2 linked regions of the Caenorhabditis elegans genome follow. The protein of the gene in region 1 purifies or fractionates together with the protein of each later gene. This does not show direct contact. Each region holds a gene or a part of one and is shown on either strand. Other genes may lie near its edges. The genes, in order: acp-2 and mps-1.

What was found.
Region 2: the proteins of acp-2 (region 1) and mps-1 purify together in Caenorhabditis elegans (affinity purification with western blotting, with the first as the bait; one study listed by BioGRID). This does not show direct contact.

Annotation. Positions count from the first base shown.
Region 1 is NC_003280.10:8,424,952-8,437,404, forward strand, and holds acp-2 (ACid Phosphatase family), read right to left. Parts: upstream 6,980-12,453; 5' UTR 6,963-6,979; coding exon 6,873-6,962; intron 6,829-6,872; coding exon 6,736-6,828; intron 6,689-6,735; coding exon 6,596-6,688; intron 6,550-6,595; coding exon 6,424-6,549; intron 6,371-6,423; coding exon 6,284-6,370; intron 6,196-6,283; coding exon 6,097-6,195; intron 6,044-6,096; coding exon 5,789-6,043; intron 5,535-5,788; coding exon 5,301-5,534; intron 5,250-5,300; coding exon 5,100-5,249; 3' UTR 5,008-5,099; downstream 1-5,007. Other genes in the region: F14E5.2 (Golgi apparatus protein 1 homolog), read right to left, coding at 1-130, 193-384, 435-664, 1,081-1,207, 1,259-1,879, 1,928-2,628, 2,838-2,924, 2,975-3,294 and 3 more; acp-4 (ACid Phosphatase family), read right to left, coding at 8,039-8,074, 8,367-8,427, 8,543-8,703, 8,749-8,841, 8,887-9,105, 9,151-9,243, 9,531-9,611, 9,691-9,931 and 1 more; acp-3 (ACid Phosphatase family), read right to left, coding at 10,447-10,521, 10,568-10,804, 10,853-10,913, 10,969-11,129, 11,178-11,270, 11,313-11,531, 11,575-11,667, 11,720-11,806 and 2 more.
Region 2 is NC_003280.10:6,286,559-6,298,998, forward strand, and holds mps-1 (MiRP K channel accessory Subunit), read right to left. Parts: upstream 7,804-12,440; 5' UTR 7,594-7,803; coding exon 7,514-7,593; intron 7,414-7,513; coding exon 7,266-7,413; intron 7,064-7,265; coding exon 6,974-7,063; intron 6,927-6,973; coding exon 6,820-6,926; intron 6,710-6,819; coding exon 6,560-6,709; intron 6,293-6,559; coding exon 6,094-6,292; 3' UTR 5,967-6,093; coding exon of another isoform or gene 5,954-5,966; 3' UTR 5,901-5,953; downstream 1-5,900. Other genes in the region: F13H8.6 (DUF4238 domain-containing protein), read right to left, coding at 130-311; upb-1 (Beta-ureidopropionase), read right to left, coding at 1,953-2,126, 2,241-2,433, 2,478-3,055, 3,270-3,378, 3,424-3,533; nyn-3 (RNase NYN domain-containing protein), read right to left, coding at 4,094-4,420, 4,466-4,680, 4,739-4,857, 4,953-5,063, 5,115-5,176, 5,232-5,303, 5,350-5,410, 5,789-5,900 and 1 more.

The sequences.
Region 1 (12,453 bases):
AGAGAAGTCAATGTGATTCTGATCCGATATCGATTGACGGAACTTGTCTCTGAGACAAGATACGACAACTCCATCGAGAACTGTTTGAGAGTACTGAGGCATGTTAATCTTCTTCATATCCTCGGGACAACTGAAATTTAACAATATCAAATATCGTGACTTTTGGGTTAGTTAATAAATCAAGCTACTTACTATTGTTCAGCTTCCTTCCTGCACGAAGTCAAAAGCTGTGGTCGAAGACGAACATCTCTTGCTGATTCTTGCATTCTTTCTTTAACAATCGCCTTGCATTCTCTCTGAAGCAAACGAACAATTTTTGTATTGGTGAGGCATTCCAAGACATTTTCAGAATCGCTATTTGCACAGAACTTTCCAATATCGTATCTTGAAAATCAGGTTTAGAGAAAGCTGGGGTTTATATATTATGTCAATACCTGCATTTCTTCTGCAACTCGTCATCCATAGAATTATCGACAGCCTCGATCTTTTCTCTATAGAAGATCATCGATTTGCATTCTGGACCAAGATGCTCGAAATTCAAGCGAAGACATTCAATTGTATCTTCGAACGTGTCGGCTTGATTACATTTATACATCTTAATTTCCTGTTCGCATTTTTGAGACAATTTGGGATCTGCATCAGCCATGTGTTCCTTGTCATCAAACTAAAAAAGAAGAGTTAGTGATGTTTTATTTCTGGACAAAATTGGTAATGCCGCGTTCAAAATGAGAAAAAAACCCAAAATTTTTCAAAAAACATTTATCTGAAAACTAAAAAAAGGGATTTTCTGCGTTTTGGACGCGGTATAAAAGTTAAATTTTTTACAAAATTCTCTAAAACGCATGCCAAGCGCCATAAAAATGATACGAACAAAACAGTGGAATCAGCAATCAACAAAACCAAACGAGGGACAAATTGCTAGTGAAGCCGAATTGGATTGAATTTTTAAAGTGAAAAATGTGATAGTGACTCAATAAGTAAATTTTTTAACATATGAAATTTCATGCAATAATTCAACAAATTTTCAATCCAATTCTCATGCATAAAGAACCTGACGGAACGACACCGAACAAAACTTACTTCTACCTGTTCTTGTTGAAGATAAGCCACTTTGAGTTGTTTCTTGCAGTCGTCTGTCAAATCCTTTGGCGATCCCAAAACCTTGTGCTCGAATCGGACTTCCGAAAGACAGCGAATGATTTCTCCTCTGAAAAATGTAAAATAGTTTCTCCTTGTTTTTTAATTTACTGTAACTCACTTATCGTTATTATGACCTTTGCAACTTTGTTCGATATCACTAGCACAAGCCTTTTGGAACTTATAACTGAAATGATAATCCCTCAATGAAATAAGCTCGAAATGATTGACATAGGATCGGCATTTGTTATTCATTTCTTTAGCATCCTTATTGTTCACTAGGCACTCCAATACATCTCCGTGATCAATTTCTTCATTAGCAAATTGCGCACAATGAGTGGAAATAACTGGCTTGCAGGCCTTGCTCAAAGCTCTATTCAATTTAGTGTCCTTTGCTTCCATTTCTGTGAATTTTGTTAGTTCGGCGAAACATTGCGGATGTTTTCGTTTAAAGTTGTCAGTTTCAAAGTTTTGTTGGAGACACATCATTTCTTCCGATGGTTTGACGTTATGGGAACAGAATTCTGAGAGCGCTTCACGACATGAATCCTCAATTTCCGGAATTAAATTGACACGGACGGCGCGAACATGAAGGAGTTGTCGAACTTGGGTTCCACACTTTACTGAAAGTGGATTTTGTTCGTCATATGCACTTCTGTAGAGACAGGCGAGCACTTGCGGTCCACGATCGACAGTATTATCAGAATTATGTTGTTGGTGCCAGTTATCGAGGGCGGAACATCTGAAATTTTAAGTTTTTTTAAATCAAGCTATTATTAAATGAACGTACCTGCTCACGGCTTCTTGATGACAAGCTTCATATAATTGTGGATCCATTGTCCAATCTCTAGCCATGAAATATTGAACTTCGAGCAGACGTTTTTCACATTCAGGAACCATATCAGGACTATCCACATTTCTCATGAGGCATGTTAAAGTAGCAGTTTCTGAAACTGCGTCTTGGGCACAAGGACCATCAATAAGACTTCTGCACGATCCATACAGAACTTTGTCGACTTTATAGTTTCTTCCGATATCTGCAACTTTAACGACTTGTTGAACAGCTTGAAGACATTGAGCTCCCAGTTTTAATGTTTCATTTCTGGATTCAGCATGCTCCATCAAACAGTGCAATGTTCTTCCTTCGGCCTCGATATCTCCACGTGGACTACACCATTTATCAATTTCTTGTGCACAGTTGAGTACAAGCTCTGGAGCCATTCGGAAGTGCTGCATCATCATTTGACGATGAGTAATCATTTCATGAGCACATTCTTTTGATGGTTGAACTTCCTTGTGTTCTGGTTGATTTGCTCCATTTTCAAGACACAAAAGGATCCATGCCAGATGGAAATGAGCGGCTGATTCAATTTGGTTCTGTGGTTCACACTTGTATCTGGTCAATTCTGGTTGACAAGCTTTTGTGAGTGGATGAGCCATACGGTAATCTCTTCCCATAAGATATGCTCTCTCGGCAAGCAAATTTCCACACTGAAAATTTTATTAATGTATAATTTTGAGTCGTTTTTTTTCTTTTTTCTTGAAAATATGCGATCCAGTTGTATAAATAAATGGATTACGGAATCTAAGGATTGTAATTTTTGCATTTTCAAGAATTCAATAGTCAAAAAAAACTGCACCTGTGTAAATAAACACATGAGAATTTTCGGAAAAACTAAAATATTCTGATAAAATCTCACCTCTGGATCCATGAATTTATCATTTCTATTCATCATGAGACATTCGAAAACCTTTCCTTCGCCAGATGGAACATCTTTACAGTATCTCTGAAAAAATGTTTTGCTCATTTATAAAATTCAAACTCCTAAAAACTTACCTCTCTGTCTAATCTGCAAGCAAAGAAGAGCGGTCTGTCTAAATGGAAATCATCAGCCTGCATCTCTGCAAGTCGGAGAACTTCATGTTTACAATCATCTCCAAGTATTTGCAATGCATCTGCTTGAGTCTTTGCATTTTTCACAACTTTATCCAAAATACATTCCAAAGCCATTCCTTGCGTATGTGCGACACGAACACCTTTGTGTGCTGGATCAGGAGTAAGGACGTTGCATTTGAATTTATCGAGAATAGCACGGCATTTTGTTACGAATGGACCAACGAGACGGAAATCCGAGAAAGCTAGTCTCTCTGTTCTGGCTTCAAAACGAAGAGAAATTTAAATGTATTTTGATGAAATTTTGTGTTTTTAAAATTACAATACTCACCTAAAAATGCGTGGCATTTTCCAGTCTCAGTAACATTTTTTGTGAATTCCATGAGACAACTGAGAGCAAATCCAGGTTGAGTTTGAGATGTACAAAGATTCATTGCAGCATTTCCCTTCAACTCTTCCTCGCAATATTGTTTGGCCGCGGATACGAAACGCTCGTCTTGTGTTATTTTGACCTTGAAATCCCAGACAAGTTGCTCACACTGTTCGGATAGAGTCGCTGTCTCAGAAAATCCGGCATCTTGAAGGCATTCAAGAATCGACATGTCGCTTGTTAGATCTACATCAGGCTGAAATATTTTATTTGCCTATCAATAGCTTTAATGTCAAACTCACTCGGCTACAATGTTTATGAATATCTGCTTTGCATGCATCGAAACTGGCCAACTTCTTATCTGGATCGTTCGCTACGTTTTGTTGTTGAGCTGAAATTTGAATTTATTTTGAATCAATTGAATATTCCTGACATACCTGTTGTCAGCCAACAAACCGACGCGAGTATCAGTGGAAACCTCCACATATTTCAGGTTCAGGACCCTGAAAATAAATTTTCAACGTGTGCAAATAGAAAAACATTCTGAAAGTGACGTCATTTGAGAAAAATGTCGAATTTTAATTGAAACGACAACAATTAGGTATATAAAAATGTGGTGAAAAGTGGACAAGTGTGCACACAGAAACCCTCTTTTTTGTCGGAAAATATAGAAGATAGAGAAAAAGACTTGAAAAAATAGAAAACGGATCCTGGAAAACAAATAGAAATCCGTTGGAACCTGGGCACGGAAACTTGCGGACCAGTGGTGTTTGCACACAATGCGCACTAAACAACGCGCAAACTATTGTCAGAAAACCTGACACGTCATCTTATTTAATGAAAATACTATGCCTCTGTAATTAAATATTATTTTTTGAGAATTCAACTAACTTTGCCTGAACTTGAAAACTGAGAACAAAAAAATTTCGTAATTTTTGCGTCAAAACTACAGTACCCGGTCTCGGCACGACAGTTTTTGTTAAATGCAAAAGGGCATGCCCCTTTAAACAGTACTGTAGTTTCGAATGTGTGTTTTTGCGGACTTTTATTGATTGATTTGAATACCGTATTCTTAGCACAAAATTTCGCATTTGGGGAATAATAATTAAACTTTTCAAAATAAATAATGTCCATTTTTGATGCTAATTCTCACAAATTTAGGTAGGAAAAAATACGCTAGAAAAACTAATGATTTGCCGAGAAATTACAACCGGGCCACGTGGCTATATTGTTAAAAACAAAACGCCCTCCGTCCACCCGAAACAATATTTTTGAGATAATATTATCGAACAGAACAGGCCGATCGGTAAACTAGGCATAAAAGGAGAGAGGACGAGAAATAGAAGAGAACAATGCGCTCAGGAAGGTGAAGAGACTTGTTTTGTCTTCTGCAGTCCGACAGAGAAAACTTACGGCATCAAGAGAAGGAGGATCTCGACGAATAGACCGATGCCCATTCGTCGTATAGTCGGTTAAGTGGAGATGACGAATTAATCGGACGAAAAAAAAAACGAAGAGAAACTTTTTTGGTTGTTAGGCTACGGAAGTTCAATATGCAAAGCTAGGTCCTTTTTCCATCGAAACCACAATTTATACTTGAGTATTTCACGCGGAACCTTCATTTAAATGGAATATAAATATCAATCGATTCACTTCATTCGCATGTATTTACAGAAAGAAACAGTATCAACTAATTGATTATTCTGGACCAGAGAATTCCGATACATGAAGATCTCTTCTAATATTATTAGGTGGAGAGCTTCTCGTGGTTCGAATCTTTAAATCAGATGCTTCACAACTCTCAGCTTCACCTTTGTTTCGATAATCATCGCAGCAGTCGAGGAAATCCTGAAATACATTTTTAATGTATGAATGAGAAAACAAAAGTTCAAAACAAACCTGTGCCAAACATCGTTCTCTTTTACAGTTTCTCACAAATTTGGTGACATCTATTAGCTCATGATCCTCGGCAGTGATCTCTTCTTTTTTATAGAAAACTTTCACAAAATATTTTCCATTATCCTTCCACGTTTCAAATATGATCATTGAGTTGTATTCGGGATATTTGTCGAGTCCAACAGTTTGTTCCAACACATTCAATGAATCGAGCACTCCCATTAGAATCCAGTCTTGCTGAAATATTTTATTATTAGGATTAATCAGCAAATACTGATTTTGAACTTGGAAATAACTCTAGAAACTCGAAAAAAGAGACACCAATGGTGTTTTAGATTAACCATATCATCCAAAAACCGAAAAGACATCCGAAAATATAATTCGATACAGAACGCGAAGAGGGCTAGTAAGGAGGCGAGTGACAAACGCCCTCGCCACGCCTCGACCTTATCGACATATCTGAGCCATGTTGTGTATATGATATAACATACCGTAGAGTACACTGCCAACTTCTCCCTTCTGGATACTCTTCCATCACTCTTGTGTTTCTCTTCTTTATCCATGTATATCTTATTTTTAATGTCCGTTAGCAACGTGTTCATAAGATTTCCAAATTTGACCTTCATCATTCGCGGGTCATGATGATTACCAGTTCCTGTGATAAACTGGGTCACATTCACATAAATACCCATGATTTCGTTTATATGTTGAGCGATGAGTGGTGGAAGAGGAATTCCATTTTTGTACTGAAAAAATAAATAAATGAACAGCTTAGACGCTGAATGAGTTTAAAATAAACCTCATTGATATGAGCTTCAATGGTGTGAAAAGGGTATTGCTTGAAAACTGGGTGAGTATATTTAAGACAGTTGGCAATGAATTCCTCGTAAATCGTCCACTGAAGAATAATCATTTTTGAAATGTTTGACTTTTAATAAAACTTTATTCAAATCCAATACCAATCTGAAAAGCTCTATATATCTTACCGGATGAAAACTTCCACCAAAATCTGGGCATTTCTCTTTGATCAGCTCTAACTCTCGGGGACAGTTAGCTTGGTCGTAGTTTAGTAGCTGAAATAAAAGGATAGATTAATCAGTTATTTTTATTTTCAATTTCTAAATACATTTTCTCCGATCTCCTCTGTAAGAACAGGAACATATAAATGCCTAGATGGATCTTCGAACATAGCCGCACCAACGGTTGACGCTGAGCTTAGACATCGATTTTTGTTTACGGATCTCCAATACATCTGAAATTTTGAAAAATATAATAAAATTTCTGAAAAATAACGATACCTGACGTGGCTTCAAATTTCCATCAACAAATTTCGAGTCTACATATCGAGTTTTTAAGAATCGTCCCAATCGAAATGAATTTTCGAAGCCTCTCTGAAATTACTATTTTCAAACTTAAATTAATAAAATAACAGTCTTACATCAGTCAATTCTCCTAGACCTCTTGGAAAGTTTGCAAGATAAGCAGGATCGCTGAGACTATTTGATGGGGCACGGGCTCCATGACGAAATAGCTAAGAATATTTATGTATGTAAAAGACGGATGACATTATCTTACCACTTGTGTGTAAATCCGTTTGGGGTTTTCAGAAAGTGCGATGGCGAATTGAACAATCAAACAAATGAACAAAAACCATGAAATCTTCATCTTTTGATTTCTCACTTCTGTAATATTAGAGATATAAAATAAAAATACATGAAAATTGTTTACCAACAAGCTTGAAGTTGAAAAATTACAAGAAATTGAAACATGAGATTGAAAAGCTGTGTTTCACGAGTAAAAAAAAACAAATAAATCAAATAAATCACCTTTCTGAAGCACGCGGAGGTCGCAGAGGTGGAAGTTTTTCTTAGATTTTCCAGTTTATTTATTTATTTAATAATAATTTCTCATAAAAGTACTTTCATGCAAGTGCCTGCCTGCCTTGCTTACGTGGCTTCTGCCAAAAGTACTCAGAAACAACTTCAACTTTGAACGGACTAAATAAATGAAAAACCAAAGTATCCAAAAAATCAGAATTAGAAGAAGATGAAGATATAGTGCAGAGATATCCAGGAACAAGAAAATTGCTGGTTATCTACCCTTATCTTTCATTTTCTTGCTACTATCTTATCTTTTGTTATAATTCCTACTGCACAAAGAATAAATAAAAAGTTCAACGTTCTGTTGAGAACATGCTAAGGATGTGTAAATGTTCAAGAATATCTTATATGAAGGTTGTATATGGGATATTCAAATCCAAAATGAAATGCCAACTGACCAAAATAAGGAATATGATTAAAAATGATTTCAAGAAAGCGCTGAGTCAATTCTGAAGAAACAATACATATTTTATTCCTTTTGTCAGCCAAAACGTATCATTCTCTTTTTTTCGAACAATTTGTTTAAAATGCATGAGTTTGCAAAGGCGCCAGTAAGTTTTGAAAATAGAGAAGACGAATTACAAATTAAAATATTATTTATAAAAAGTTCAACAATTATTTTCAAGTTCTTCCAGTGTTGCTCGGGTATTATCACAGCATTTATTCAAATTCTGAAAGATAAAATATCCTAAAAGTAATTTTTATGATTAGAACCCACCCTCAGAGAACATTTTTTCCCTGGGCATCCTGGAATGATACCAGTCAAATCTTGTAGAATATGGTCTTCCAGAGTAACCTCTTCCGGTTTATAGTAAAACTTCACGAATGGCTTTTCATTCTCACTCCATAGCTCCATTAGAATCATTGCATTGTAGTTTGGTTCTTCTTTAGGACCAACTGTTTGGATATGATTTAACCAGCCGTGGACCGCACCTACGGCGCGGCCCCCGACTTTTTTGAGAAAACACATTAGATAAACGGTGTCTATCGCGGACCTCGATCGATGTCTGCTGCGCATTTAGCATAAGGTTTCCCAAAATTTCGTTGCTCTGATCAGAGATCAAACTACATAGGGACAGAAGGACACGCGCTTTATATATAGTAAATGATACACCGAAAGCATCTAAAACACCTCCCAGCACCCAATCTTGCTGAAACGACAGATTTTTGGAAGAACAAGCTAACTCACAGTTGAATAAACTTTGAATTTTAAACTTTCTTTATTCGCAAGATTGTTTGTCCAAGCAGTTCTGAAATTAAATGAAATACGAATGATCTCTTGGTATCTAAAAAAATTTCGGAACGAGGAAACTCACACATCCGCCCTCCCGGCCGGATTCCCCGAAAATTCCTCTAAAAACTAACTTTAAATTCTCCAACAGTGTATCAATAAGCACGCCGAACCGAAACTTAATAATTACTGGTTTCCCAATGCCGTTTTTTAAATTTCGATATTTCATATATTCTTCAGATATGACTTCGATGTTTTCACAAATGAAATCCGGCACGGGAACATTGTTCTTATACTGAAAAAGATTGAATCATCAGATTAAAAATGAAGGAAGAGTTACGTCATTGATGTACTTGTCAGAATCATCGATACTGATTTTCTGGAAAATTGGATGATTTGAACCAGCACACTCATACATTATTGCACTTTCGTCCTAAAAATTATCTTCCCGAAGTTTTTCAAAATTGGAAAGATATACACGATGATTGTCAGCTTCTAGGTTTGGACAAGCTTTTTCCATTGCACTCTCAAAGATGTCACAAGAATGAACTGGAGTATTCAACAATTTATCTTGATTTGCATGGTTTGTCGTAATAGGCACAGTCAGCCATTTTCGTTCTTCCGTCTTAAACATGCCTGCAGCAACAGCAGATGCAGTTGCTAAGCATCTTTCTACAGCACGGAATCTCCATTCCATCTGATAAAGTTATGTAACTGGTAGTAAATTTGATGAACTATTTACCTCACTAGGTTTCATAAAATCACTCAAAAATCCCGTGCCGACATATCGTTTCTTGAGAAATCTTCCTAACATAAATGAGTGATTGTATCCTCGCTGAAAATAATTGCAAATGTGGAGAGCCTTAAATATTATTAGTTAAAGGCAATTAGAAGTTTACACTTTGGGTGTATCCTTTTGAGGAGTTTAGGTGATCTATCGGAGTCTGAATAAGCTAACACGATCAAGAGTAGAAAACATGTCCGAAAATCTGACATTAGGTGTTGGCTACTAGTGATGGACTCTATGAAAGTGTATGACAAAATATTGTTGCTCGATTTGTTTATCAATATTCAGTTAAATGTTCAAAAACTATATTTAAAATTCTAGCTGTACAGGCTTACATCAGTTAACTGTCCTCTGCCTCTCGGATAATACGTGTTGTTCGCGTTTTTGCTGGGAGCTCGTGAGCCATGCCGAAAGATCTGAAATTGTATGAAGGTAGGATTGCAAATATAACAGTTCAGAATAATGAAAAGATTGATTGATAAAATTTGAACGTACGGTATGTGCAAAAATCAACCTCCTTATCGGGTTAGTTTGCGTGACTGGATAAGGAGTTGAAGAAGTGTGGACATGCACTTTTGTAGATTTTTCATGAGTTTTTGTTGAAGAAATAAATGGATCTTTTGTTGTAGAATTTGCAAGATGAGCTTGAGGATTTATGTCGGAAGGTTCAGAGTAATCATAAAATAGAAGAAAAAGTGCAATTGCAATGACAAACGCAGACAAAAGTATAAACATACTGAAAGTTAACTTTTTTTTTTCAGATTTTCAACGTCTATAACTTACATCATATATCTAAATCTTTTTCCAGGAATATGTTTTCCACTTTGTTTTGCCGATTTGACATCCATTTTTGTTTGTGGAATTGAAACATCAATGGGACTGCAAGCCTTTTTAGCACTCATTTTTAATTTGAGAAAACAGATTAAATAAACATGAAAGCCAACTAGATAGGATAAAATAGTAAATAATGATTGAGTTGTCTCATTCAAAGGATGAAAAAGAGACGTCAGTTGAAAAAATTCAATTAGTTTATTGCAAAGGTCATTCTGAAACACATTTTTATATAGATATTTTATTTCAATTATTTGGTATCGCCTCTTCCTTATATTCGCCTCTTCCTTATATTCTTCGCGACTTCCACTTCCATACGCCCAAAAAGTGGTGCGTGAGGTGCTAGGCTCTTATTTTGAATTTTAGTTTATAATGAAATATTTATTTTGGGATCTCGAGTTCAACAGGTTCCAATAGTTTTCAAATCCGTGAATCACATAGCTCTTGAAGATCTTCCAGCTCTCCACGTGTATCGTTGCAACAGCTTTTAAATTTCTGAATATCGTTTCAGAATTTCGATGTTTGAAATAATTAGTATTACCTTCAATGCGCACTCTTTTCCAGAACATCCTGGGATGATATCCGTCAAATCTTGCAGAACATGATTTTCAAGAGTAATCTCCTCCGGTTTATAGTAGAACTTTACAATCGGTTTTCCATTTTTCTTCCACAATTCCATAATAATCATTGTATTATAGTTTGGTTCTTCTTTGGATTTTGATTGAATATGATCAAGAACACCAAATGCATCTAGAACTCCTCCCAATAACCAGTCTTGCTGAAAATACACTGAACTATAAAGAAAGACACAACAGACAATGATTACCGATGAATAAACTTTAAACTTCAAACTTTTTATACGAGCTAGATGGTGTTTCCAGGCATTTCTAAATATAAGTAGTTTGTTTTTCAAATAACATCAGATTAGGTTTTAAAACTTGCACTAAGTTTTCCAACAGTGTATGCACAAGGAATCCAAATCTTGCTTTAATCATTTTGCGATTCCCGATTCCGTTTTGAAAATTTCGAACTTTCAGATATTCTTCGGAAATTGTTTTGAAATTATCACGAACAAATTCCGGCACCGGAACATGGTTCCTGTACTAAAATCATAGCATATTAACTCAACTATGATCATTTGGGCATTTTACCTCATTAATATATCTGTCACAGTCATCTATTTTTATTTCTTGAAATATTGAATGATTCCCTCCCATACATTCGTACAATACGGCGTACATTTCCTAAAGTTTTTATTTTGTCAATTAAATAAAAAGCCAACTTACATCTCTGTTCACTTTTTCAGTTTTCGGACATTGTTTTATTCTAGAATTTCTTGTGAAGTTACATCCTCGAATGGGGAGATTTAATAGTACATCGTTTATACCAAGATTTGTTACTATGGGAACAGTCAACCAAATCTGGTTTTCTGTTTTGAACATTCCAGCGGCAACGGTAGAAGCTGTACTCAAGCAACGATTTATGTCACGTGATCTCCATTCCATCTAAAAAACAAATAATTTTATTTTGAAAATAATCGGAGAGAACCTCATTCGGCTTCACGAAAGAACTCAAAAATCCAGTGTCAACATATCGTTTTTTAAGAAATCTACCCATCATGAACGAGTGATTGTATCCTTGCTTAAATTACTTTAAAATTGCAAAACTTTACGATTCTTAACTATTATATTACGTCTGTCAGTTGTCCATAATCTCGCGGAAAGAACTTCGTGTCCGTTTGTTTTTCATTTCCTGGCGCTCTGGCTCCATGTCGGAAAATCTGAAAAGCTTTCATTGGAAGCTTATGCATTTGATAAATGTAGATATGCATAGATGAAAGATTATTCACTCACAACTTGAGTAAACAAAAGGGAGCCGTCCTGAACCATCTGAGCAGTTGTTGGCGTTGAGCCTGGAGATGAGAAAAAGTAATAGAAAATGAAAAAACCAATAATGGTGGCGACAACTGCTGATACAAGCCCGACGATTCTGAAATTGATCCAATTTTCAGGTTACACTTTATAAAAAATACTGTAACTCACATGAACAACTTTTTCTTCCGATTGCCACTCGGATTTGTGTCCTGCTTTTCAGTTTCAGGATCAGGCATCTGCAGTTGTGCCGTTGAATGGTCATTTAAACTGGTATCAATGCTCATTTTTCATTTGAGAATTAATGGAGAAGCCAAGAATTCTAAGAAATCAGAGAATAAATTGAAAATCACGGCTAGGGTTTGTTTCGCAGAAAGAAGTAGGGCAACACGAGTAGATTGAATATTTTTTGCGCTGCTATAAGCCTTCAGTCCTCCCACCGATCGTAGAATCTCTGATACAAATTGAACTATTTTCTATGTTGTTCGTCGCAACAAGTAGAGAATACTGTGGAAGACTAATTTATTAAGAAAGTAAAATCAGGAATAAAATAAAT
Region 2 (12,440 bases), 2.1 Mb from region 1:
GACTACAGGCTTTTGAAGTTATATATATTCTTTCTAAACGCTGAGCAATACGTTTGTTTTTGATTATTTAAAGTTTATAAATTTGAAAAAAAAACACCAAACTATCATGAAAAATTTCTTAAAACTTACTGAGAAGAATACATAAGCGGAATAGAACTATCACCGTCAATAGGAATCGGTCCATAGCTGTTGGTTGTAGCAGAACGGGCAAAATGAGATCGACGACGAAGTGTTGATTGATTGATAACAGCAGCAGCAGAATTGAGCATCTTGCCAAAACGAAATCTTGCACGACGAGATATGCTGTCCATTATTTGAATTTAAGCAAGTTATAAATATGAAGAAAAAGAATTTAAGAAAGGGAGCTCTGTGCAGAGCATATATAAAGTAAGGCAAACTGGTAATTTGAATGAGAATTCGAGAAAAAAGAAGAATAATGCACAAAAAGTAGGAAGGAGGAGCCAAGTTGCCTCGAGCCACCAGAGATATCAAAAATGTGTTTAAGAACTTCTTAATTGTAAAGATATGAGTTTAAGAACTTCTTAATTGTAAAGATATGAATATGAATGATTTGTGAAACAACTGAAAACATCAAACAATACAAGTTGTAGTAATCAGATGGAAATTTACACTGGGGATCTGCCACAGCACCATGAAAATAGTAGTGTCTGATACTATACAAAACGGAAAAAACAAAAAAAAATTGGGTTCAATGAAACCATAATTCTAGACACCTCGATTGAATACAAAATGAATACAATAAAGTCGGAAATAAAAAGTAGCCTAATCTACAACTGTAAATTGAAAGATTTGAAATCGCTAAAAGAAAAATGAATTTCTGAATTATGGAATTATGGAAAAAAAATCTGTTGAACAAAACAAAAGTACTAAATATTCTTCATTTCCATAATAGTTAAATTTAGTTTATGAGTGAGTTAGTCACACAACATTTCAAAATCCAAATTTTTATTTCATTTTAACTGTTGCTCATTGTGAACAAATATGTCTACTTCCTTAGATTTGACAGGGCGACCTTAAAAAAGGGACGATCCGTTCTATAGACTGCGGATCTGGGAGTCAGGTACATTGCCTGGTGGTACCTCACTGGGCTATAATTCAAGTCATGCTCTAGCCTGGGACTGTAACCGGTAATCCAGTCGTGGATTACTCCACTTCCCAATAAAGACAGAGTGAACATAGATGTTTTTAAACACTAAAATCTTACGAACATCTTCATTATAAAAAATCGTATTTTTAATTGGTCAAGCCGTTCCGCTTGCTGAGTTTCTCTCAATTTTCATGAAAAACAGTCATCTTATAATAATTGATATTTTACTTAAAAATTGTAGATAAACGCATTTTTCTTGGATGAACGGCAATCAGAGTAGTCTGGTATGGGACAAAAATTAACAATACCGCATACAAAATCTCAAAATACAAAACAAAACCTTTAAAGTAGTATCTAATAGTTATTCAAAAGTAGTACGAAAATTCCAAAATAATTTTGGTTTACTGCGAACTAGGAAAAATTCTCAAGAAGAAGGGAAAATAACATGAGATGGGCGGTTATCAGAAACTAGTGATTATAATATTGGTGCCTAGTTTCTCTATATGTTGCCTCAGTAACGACAGCAAAAATATTATCACTAGAATAAATATCTTATCAAATATCTAAAGAAAACTTCTTTTAAAAAGCAAAAGAGCTGAAGTATATATCACCTAACTAGTAAGTAAGTTTATAAAGCTTCAGTCTTCCACATGATTGCTTCTTTTAAAGTTTATCAAGTACAACAAGTTGAGTCATCTCCCTCTTCTGATCTACTACTATTCACCTCATTAGTTCAAATCATGAGCTAAATTGAATTACATTTATTTACGATTCAAATAATAATCAGGTGATAGAAAACAAAGAAAAATCATCCATAAATTGAAATGTCAACAACAAAACTGATTCATTGCTCTCTTCTGATGTCTGGACGATAGTCCGGGTTGGAAACTTCCGTAATCTTTTGAGCGTACATGTCGAGACGGTTTGTCATTCTGAATCCCCAAGCATCCTTGCATTGACGACACAGATTTAAGTCGAGTTCAGCAATGAGAACTCCCTCACGAACACGAGATAATGCCTGAAAAAAATATGTATCAGATTTGTTCAAGCTATTTTTTTTTAAAAGAGAGAAACAGTTATAAAAATTTTTGAGCAGTTACTCATTGTTGAAGTTTAACCTCAATAAACTCACTGGAGTACGGCTACCATCAGGAGCAGCAATATAACTGGATCCATAAAAGTGACCGAAGTCTTTGTGCGCTGGTTGCCCATTTCCACTGGTAAATTCATTTGGGAAGACTTCAGTGCCCACGCGGTTAATTCCAACTGTGAAGACGTGATTGGCAATGGCAGCATTTCGTGCTTCGATACCCCAGAGTGGTTCACTAAATTTCCATGTTTTTAATGTTTCAATATTGAATCAACAAACCTGAGAGCACCAACTGTTGCTGATGGATTGAAGATGATCTCTGCACCGTTAAGAGCGTACATCATCCAATTTTGTGGATGATGGCGTCCGTAACAAATATTGATTCCGATACGACCGTATTTGGTTTCAAAAACTGGATGACCAAGTGTGGACTCCATATAGTATGTAGATTCATTAAAATCTCCAACTCTTGGAATATGATTCTTTCTAGATCTTCCGATAACCCGTCCAGTATGAGAAATCACAACAGCTGTATTCCAAATAACATCATCCTTTTCTTCGTCTCTTTCCAAAATTGGAGAAATAATCACAATATCATGTTTCACGGCCAATTTAGAAAGGAATTGTGTAGTTGGTCCAGTGTATACAGATTCTGCGAATTCTGTCCATGGAAGACGTTCACGAGTACAGAATGCAAATGGCATTGTCCAAGCTTCTTGAAGTCCAATAACATTAGCTCCAGCGGAAGCAGCAGCTTCAATCATTGCTCCGACACGTTGATGAATTGCATCACGTTGTTCAACGACACTGTCTGTAGTTGGACGGTGGATTTTGTTTTGAATAGCGGCAACGCGAACCTTAAAAAATGGTAATATTTTCAAATATATATAACAAACTGGGACTCTCTTTTTCTCTTTTTCCACCTAATATTTGCAGTGCTCAAAGATTAAGAATGAAAAGCTAAATACGAGAAACAGACAGAACATCTCCCATAACAATATTCTTCCTTTCTACAAAATTGGTTATCAGAAAAGTTATTTAAAACAATTTAATTTTATAATTTCTGCTCACCAGTCTTGGAGCTCTTGTTTGTTCTTTTTGAGCGTCCACAATGTATCCAGACAGTTGGAAATCACCATCTTGTGCTAGTTTTTCCGCAATAGAAGAAATTTCCAGTGCTCTGAAAATAAAGTATTTGCGAATTTTCATTATATTTTAAACAAACCTGTATGGTCTACCATAAAGAATTCTTTCGACTTCATCTAAAGAAACTCCGTCCAATTTTTCAGCCAAAGCAGTTTCAACGCCATCGAATTGAGCCGGAGCTGCAGACATTTTTACCTGAATAAGATAAAATAAATATATAAAGATATGATGTTTCTAGTGAAAATGGACAAATTGCGATAAGACAAGATAAGAAAATGAATTCACATTAAAATTGAATGAACACTATTTATTGGGCAGTATTTGACCTTAAATTTATCGGAACTTGAATGCCATTTAAAGAGAAAGTGGTGTTATCAATTGGAAAATAGAATTTAATCAAGGAAAAAGAGAAACTTTTTTTCGGCGAACACCAAATTTTTTTTCAACTTCTTATCAAGACCGAAATGATAAGATGTATCAGACCAGCAAATTTGATTCTTCTGCGAATCTTCGAGAAAACAAGAAAGAGCAAAAAAGCAAAAGTATCTGATGTTAAAGAGATCCTAACTGAATAGTTTAAAGTCTCCTGTCCTCTCAGAACGACAGCTGTCTCAACACGTGCACCCGTCAGGTCATTCAAAGATATCAATCGAGAGATAGAAAAAAGAAAACATGCAAAAAATCGAAACGTTTATCGAATTGTTTGTAAAAATGAAACAGATCTCAATCAAAAATCAATATTTCGATTATTATTTCTTGATTTTATTTGCTTCTTCAGCCAGTGTGAACCATTGAAGCAACGACCCAAGGGAATGATCTCTTGGAAGTTCGATTTTTCCTTTATTAACATTCACGACAGATTGACTAGACTTTTCCGGGAGAGGCAATGGAGTTGGAACAAGAACATCATCACTTAGTTCATTGCTATTTGTTTGTTTCTCAGAAACTTCTACAACAGGCTCCATAACCCATTCTTGAAGTAAATCACATCTTCCTTCTCGTTTCGGATATTTTCTGTAGAATGCATCCGCAAATTTCTTCGGAGCAACATCTTCCACTCTTAATCCATGAAAACACTGAAATATTTCCTTATTTTTTGGCAATTGGACAAGTACACATACATTATCAATACATGGCAATTCTGCAACATCTCGAAACATTTTCCCGGCTGCATAACTCATTGAAATGAGAATAGCTTCAAGTTCAGCACACAAGTAAGCTCTCCTCTCATCAGTCACTTGTCGTTTCGAATTTTTCACAAGATTATAGTCCGGTTCATGAGGCAACGCAAATAGTCGTTGACGCAAAGATTCGGTTCGTTGACTAGTGTTTTCATCTGAAAATAACAAGATTCTAGATGATGTTCGATTATAAAAATAGAAATAATTTCTTACATGTGAATAGTTCGGGAGCATGTCGATAAAACCGATCTGATTGATATTCGACGAAATCGAGTGTTAGCGGTCGGAATTTTACATCGACTGTTCGGTTTCTGATGACGTGGTGGAAGTCACTAAAACCAGTGTAATATTAAATTTGAATTTAATGCATAGCTTTAAAAAAGCCGAAAAAGTCCTAGTCTAGTTTACAATATGATAGGAATGTTACCTGTAACACGGTTGATTGAGAATATCTTTGAACTTGTCTCCACTGACAATTGTACCTCCATGTCTGGCTGCATACGAAACCACATACAAATCATCATAATTGATAAACGCCCTGAAAAACACGTGACTTGCCCACATTGACTTCATTCCGACTCTGACTCACTTTCGTAGTCCCCGACCACTTCTAGCCGGCGTGAATGTCACAATACCAAGTTGCTCCAATTTCTGAGAAAATCAAAAATCAGAATCCAAAAAGCCTAGAGAACAAAGATTATCTTACTGCAAGTAGTTCCGCATTTTTCGAGTTATAATTATTAACATTGTTGTAAACAACAGGCAGGAAAACAGTCACCTGAAATTTGTAATTGGGAAATTAAAGAAAACTAAAAAATTATTACGTCAAATCTACGAATAAGAAGCCATCGGACAACGGAGACGAGGCCAGCACAATCCACGTGACTGAAAAAAATACAGAAATTTGTGCGTATTATTTTTTGTAATTCATTAAAAGAACAGAGCCACGACTTAATTTCCCACGTGTCCACGGAATCTCTACCATCTACCAGACATCTACCAAGGGCATGCTTTTATTCATTTCTGGCACAATTTGCATAAATATTTGCCAATTTCTGAACCAAACTGCTGTTTTTAGATCAAACTTATGACATAAGTTGGCGTCAAAAACCAAGGTGGGGCATTAAGATTGCTTGCTCAAAAGAGCTTGCTCAAAATCATCGAAATTTTAATGAGTGGACTGAAAACAAGCAATTTTCAACAATATCAGAAGTTTGTAATGATTGGAAGCATTGAATTGAGAAAATATTCTGGACAACCCACGTTCTAGCATATCCAGAGGCACTTCTTCCAATGTTGCATCCATCAATGACAAGCGGTCTCGATATTGCCTCTTGAGTCGGTGGTTTGAAATAAGCATTTTCTTTATCGGTTTCTAAAATACTTCATTTCTCTTTTTTTCAATTTTAACCAGAAAAAAAGAATTACTGTTAGTCATCATCCAATGTACATAAGCAGTGTAAATATACGACAAGTTGATTGAAAATCGAATCGATTTGACGATCACAGGACAAAATAATGAAGATGGTGAAGATAAATAAGTAATGCATATAAAAATGAGAACAAAATTACACGTCTAAGCTAAATGATTTATCGTCACAATCAACACGAGGAGTTCTCGATGACGTGGAGGCGTTTGTGTCAAGCGAATATGTTCGAGGATTTGATTTTATTGAATTCATATTTGGTTCAATCAATGAATTCATTGATGAAGATGACGAAGATGACATGGGAATTGCTGTTGAAGAGGAAATTGATGGCTTACGGCTGAAATATATTATTCTTTGAGGTTTCGTTTGAATTTGCTGAAATATGTTTTGTTATTGTATGAAATGTTTCATTTTTAAGTTTCATCTATTAGAACGCCGGTGTGGTCAAATTCAATACGATTGTGTTGTTATTTTGCATTTATAAATAAGACTTTCGACATTTTTCATAAACGTTTCACCGCTAGAATATTATAAAAACCACCAAAAAGCCATTTTTTAGTAGTGTCTCATATTTGGCTACTAATCTGTTTTCATCTTTTCTCACCTATCGGGCTCTATTAAATCCGGTGACGCAATTCCAAAATCGTAAATCATTGAGATTGCAGGAGTATGTGGACGATTTGGAAAATCAGAATGTATGCAGTCGTCAGCACTTACTACAATCTCCGGAATGTCTGATGTGACTGTTGATATGCTGTAATTATAATTATTCATTAAAGGTTATATAAAAGCAAATAGAAAACCATTTCTGTTAATTCTTTAGTTTCCCTGATTATAACTTCTCTAAAAAATTCTGCTAATTACCTGTAATGTCCTCTTGGTCTTGTTCCATTTGGAAGTGGCTTCCATTCGCTATCTTTTCGCTTTTCTGGTCCTTTCTCTTTGTTTTTGTTCACGAGCCATGCAGTCACCTACAACTTTGAATTAATTTTTTTTCGATGTATTTTCATAAATATACCTGGGTTTTTGCTCTCATCAATCGTCTTCTTTTACGTTCCTGTATTTCTAATTCTTCTCGAATTCGCATAGCATCAAGGAGCGAATCCATCTGAAATATAGAGAACTTCATGTAGCTTAATACTGAAGTTATTAGCATTTTTTCAAAATTTCTACATTTATTAAAATTTTGTAACAAAACTTCTGATTTGACCGGGTTTTTGTTTTCAAACAACATACAAAAACCTACGGTCCTCTCTAATTTCATACAATTTCATACAGTTCGATTGTCTACTGTGAAATTCCAAACGTACCTCAACTGTTGATTGTGTTCTCCGAATTGATCGTACCATTAGGAGAATAATGACAAATGAGAACATTATTAAAATTGATATTGTATAAAGTATTCGACCGAACTCATTTTCGTACTCTCTCATTCGGATTGCAGCCTTGTCAAGTACTCTGAAAATTGCCACTTTTCATTAAGAGATTTTCATACCAAAGTTTGACTTTTTGTTTGTCTTTTTTCCCCGATTAATTGTCACAAAATATCAAAACTCACTGGGGATCACAAGCATTTTTCAAAGTGATGCATGCTTCTCGAATGCCTTCTTGGCACGTGGGACTGATATTTTTGTGCATGGAAAGATTAGAGTACTGTCAGTCAGAGTTAATAACGCCAAAAACTAATCAATTAAAACGATCAGACAGAAAGTGAAACAAATGATTAGGTCAAATGAACTTTCAGAAATATGATGAGTTGTAGTAGGTGTCACACACTAATCGATGAGAAGAAGACGACGTGGTGCACAAACGAGCCCTGGCGCCACTGCTCTCGAAGACTGCTTTCCTCCCTTGATTTTCATGCATTTCCATAGCAGCACATATTTGTGTGCGCAGATTCTGGAAGAGACGCAGACATACTCACATGTTTTTTATTATCATCGGAGAGGACATTGAATGGAAGTATAGAGTATGGAGAAAGAAGGGATTAAAGTGTTTGTGTTTGATGTATACCAAAATAAAAACTGTCGCCATCGGAAATTGCCAAAAGTTGGCTTTTACTGAGAGACTCATTTACTAATGTACTTTTCACTAGTGTGTGACAAAGTCAAAATTTGAACCGAGATCCACTTCAAGAGCCACTTAAAGAGTTCAAGACCAGTTCAAACCAGTAATGACTTTATTCACACTTTCCTGATTTGGAGAATAACGAAAAAACATCAAACTCGAAACCATTACCTACACTGTTCTACTATTTGTTCTTACATATATTCATATGTAATCACCCATCAAGTCATAGCTCTTTTTAGTGAAATGATACACCAAAAAACTATCAACTGAATAAATATTTGTATTTATATGATGTTCATTTGGTTGACTCTGCTCTACCAGAAATTATCAAAGTTTCGAAAAGAAGGGAAACTAATCAACTGATTCAGATAACTACTGGGTGGTCCATAATTATGGCGACCACTTTACGGAACTGTAACTTTTTCTTGGACAGCGATCAAAACAAGTTAATATATACATTTTATTGAATAGAAAAAATCGAACATAATGACATATAAAACTTAACATTTACCTACAGCCGCACAGACCTCAAGAAACTCAAAAACCCAGTCGACCGTGGCGCGCAAGTAGGCTCAATTTAGCTTAATTGAGATTTTTAAATGAGATTTATCCAATGATTTATTTTCATTATTATATAATAAAAGTATCCTTGTTTCTAAAAAACATTTCATGAAAATTTTTTTGTGATTGGTTACCGGTGACGGAAGTGACATTTGGTGAAAATTTATAAAGTCAAAAAAGTAAGCTCCCCCAAATTTTGTGATTTTTCTTCCTTGCCAGCCAACGATCCTTTATGCTTAAGTTGACAATGTATCCATTTTAAATTTTTAAAACTTAAAATGGCAATTTGGTTTTCAATATCTTGATATATTCCACAGAATTCACTGTAACCCAATTGGAAGCGAAAAAAAGTGATCTCAACCGCGGTGTTTGTGTAGTTTTTGGACATTTTTTTCGGATCTTTCTATAGCCCCCATCATGCCACACAAAATGCGTGTGTGGCATGATGGGGGTTATAGAAAGAAGGCAGAAAGCCTATCAGGCAGTTGACAGGCACGCGAATGTGCGAAAAATTGAAAGGAAGGAAAGCGAATTAAGCAGTTGGTAAAGCATGAATTTGCTATGTTTCTAGTTCTGAAATATACGTTTCTTTGATAATGTTTCGTATCGGGCGCTCGTTGCTCTAGAGTCACTATCTAACTGTTCAAAGTTGATGTTTAACACTTCAAATTCAAACTAGACCAATGCCCGATTTAAAATGAATACAATGTTTCAGGTTAACGTGTTGAATCCCTGTTGGATAGATGGAAAATTATTGAGAAACTGTTTGGGTCATCGCTTCTTACACTCACACTCTCAACAACTGTTATGAACGACCAAAAAGCAAAGCAAAGTCAGATGACGTTGAAACAGACATAGAGAGTATTTGTAGCAGATTGAATATGGTAGAAATTGTTAAAAACAGACGGTGCATTCATATTTATTTCGAAAAAAAAAATAAAAAAAAATTTCATATTCGACAGAAACTGATATTAGTGATGTTACGAAGCACCAATTTCAAATTACATTTCTCTATAAAACAGAACTCCCATCCAGTCTCAATAATTCCAATTATTATCATAAAACATTTCCTTTTAAGTCATTAACCGACGGCGAGTACATCTCGCCTGAAATTTAATCTGAACATACATTACCAAAAACGACTCAGTTAAAGACTTTGACATTTCCGTAAACAACAAGCTGCATTTCCAAAAGTATATCGGTTATGTGTCAAACTCAGTTCTGCTCAAGTGTAGGCAGTTTCTCCGATTTTTTGATCAACACTCTGTTGAGATTCTACAGAAACGTTTTCCATCTTTCTTTGACCAAAAGTACAAAATTACTCCATCGAAACCAGCCATAGCATTTTTGGGTACCTTCGATTGAGCAGCCACATTCGACGAAGCACCTGGAAAACATTTTGATCGGAGAGTACCCAAAGTTCCAGTTATATAAACTAACCGCTCTGCCACTGACCATCCCACTGACCATCCCACTGACCATCCCACTGACCATGCCACTGACCATCCCACTGACTAATTCTAATTTATGAAAAAAATACATTTTCAAAATAGAGACGAATAAAATTTTAAAAATTTTATTGGTGTCTCTATTTTATCAAGCAAATATATTTTCAAAATAGAGACGAATAAAAATTTAATTTTTATTAGTGTCTCTATTTCATCAAGAAAATATATTTTCAAAATAGAGACGAATAAAAATTTAAAATTTTTATTAGTGTCTCTATTTTATAAAGAAAATACATTTTCACAATAGAGACGAATAAAAATTTAATTTTTATTGGTGTCTCTATTTTATAAAGAAAATACATTTTCAAAATAGAGACGAATAAAAATTTAAAATTTTTATTAGTGTCTCTAATTTATGAAAAAAATACATTTTCAAAATAGAGACGAATAAAAATTTAAAATTTTTATTAGTGTCTCTATTTTATAAAGAAAATACATTTTCACAATAGAGACGAATAAAAATTTAATTTTTATTGGTGTCTCTATTTTATAAAGAAAATACATTTTCAAAATAGAGACAAATAAAAATTTAAAATTTTTATTAGTGTCTCTATTTTATAAAGAGAATATATTTTTATTTCAAACTACCTTTATTGGACTTTGTCCATCCTCGACTTGCTCGTGTCCTCTGCATACCATCCAATTGTATCAGCTTCATCCAATGCACGTGCTCGTTGCTCGACAACGTCTATCCACACCTCATCCATATTGTTCCACTCTGAAAATGGTATTGTTTAGGAATTGTTGCACTTTTTAAACAATTATTTTATACGTAAAATGGTTTTTTCTCGCAGTTTATTTATTCAAAATTGAATTGTTTAATTTCTAAAAATAAAGACGAATTGCGAACTCAGTTAATTTTTGTTTTTGTATTCAAAATTTTTTCAAATTTCAAAAGACAAAATAAATTAACTTAGCTCTTGTCTTTGTTCTTATTGAAATTATTGCAAAAAGTTCTGAAAAGTAACTTTCAAACTTACGTTTCATCTGAACATGCCACTGACCATGCCACTTATGAGTAAAACTCATTTCTGCTCAAGTGCAGGCTGTTTCTCCGAATATTCGATTTTCTGTTATTCTACAGAAGAGTTATCCATCTTTCTTTAACCAAAAGTACAAAACTACTCCATCGAAACCAGCCATAGCATTTTTGGGTACCTTCGATTGAGCAGTCGACGAAGCACCTGGAAAACATTTTGATCGGAGAGTACCCAAAGTTCCAGGTATGAAAACTAACCGCTCTCCACTCTTTTCCCAGATCCGTGATCCTCTCGCTAAGAACTGAATAAATCCATAAAGCAGAACATTGATAAGAAAATTGAAGAACATAAGTTGAACGAAGCGAAGAAAGAGAGCAATCGCCGAATGTGGCTGCTCAAATGCGAGGAATCTGAAGAAATTGTGGAATTGCCATCGATAAGTGTGTTTGGAGGAGGTGAACTCCCAGCCGATCCAGGAACCAAAATTTATTTCAGTTTTGTCATCAATCTAGTTGAACTTTTAGGCACAGGCGCAATGCTTGTGGGCGGAAGCTTCAAAGAAATTAATTTTTTCCAAAATTTCAAAGCCCCGGTATTTTTTGATTAGGACTTGGCAAATCCCAAGGCCTTGTGGGCAAAACTGTCAAGCCACGCCTTGCCACGTTCACGTCACTACGATACTCAAATATTTAGCGAGAAATTCAAAAACTAGTTAACCAACAAATGGCGCAAGCAATGGAGGTGTCATATATCGAAAACATTTCAGCTTACCTCGTGCCTTGGACTGAGTCCAAAAGTTCGAGGAGTTGCAAATTGGAATCGAGGCTCCGCGTCATTTTGATGGGCTCTTGGAGTAGCCGGGGCATGTTGACCATCATTCGCCATATTCTGAAAAAAGAAACAAGCTGTCAGGAATAGGAAAAGTTTAAATAATCTCCCGACATCATTTTAATATTACTCACCTGAACAATAATTTTGTAGGGCTTCCAGTTCCCGTTCGTATCTTTGATCATTATGTCCAAATCCATGATATCACATTCCATGGTTGTTGTATTAATCAAAAATGATTTATAAATCAATATTGGTTTCATAATTCCACTTGGGCAAGTTTACAGCGTGGCAGCACGGTAACCTAGGAATAAAAAACTGTGAAAAGTTTTCTTTCATCTTTTAAGCAGAAATCCATTAAACCTGTGAAATTTTGTAACAAAAATTACCCAATAATTCAATTATGTTTGTAAATTAACTAGAAATCTTCAAAAATATACAAAAACACTCCCCGAAATGTCAAAACTATTGAGTGACTTTTTCAGTAGAAAATGGGGTGCAGCACTAATAGAGTCTGCAGTACTACTGGAGATGCAGC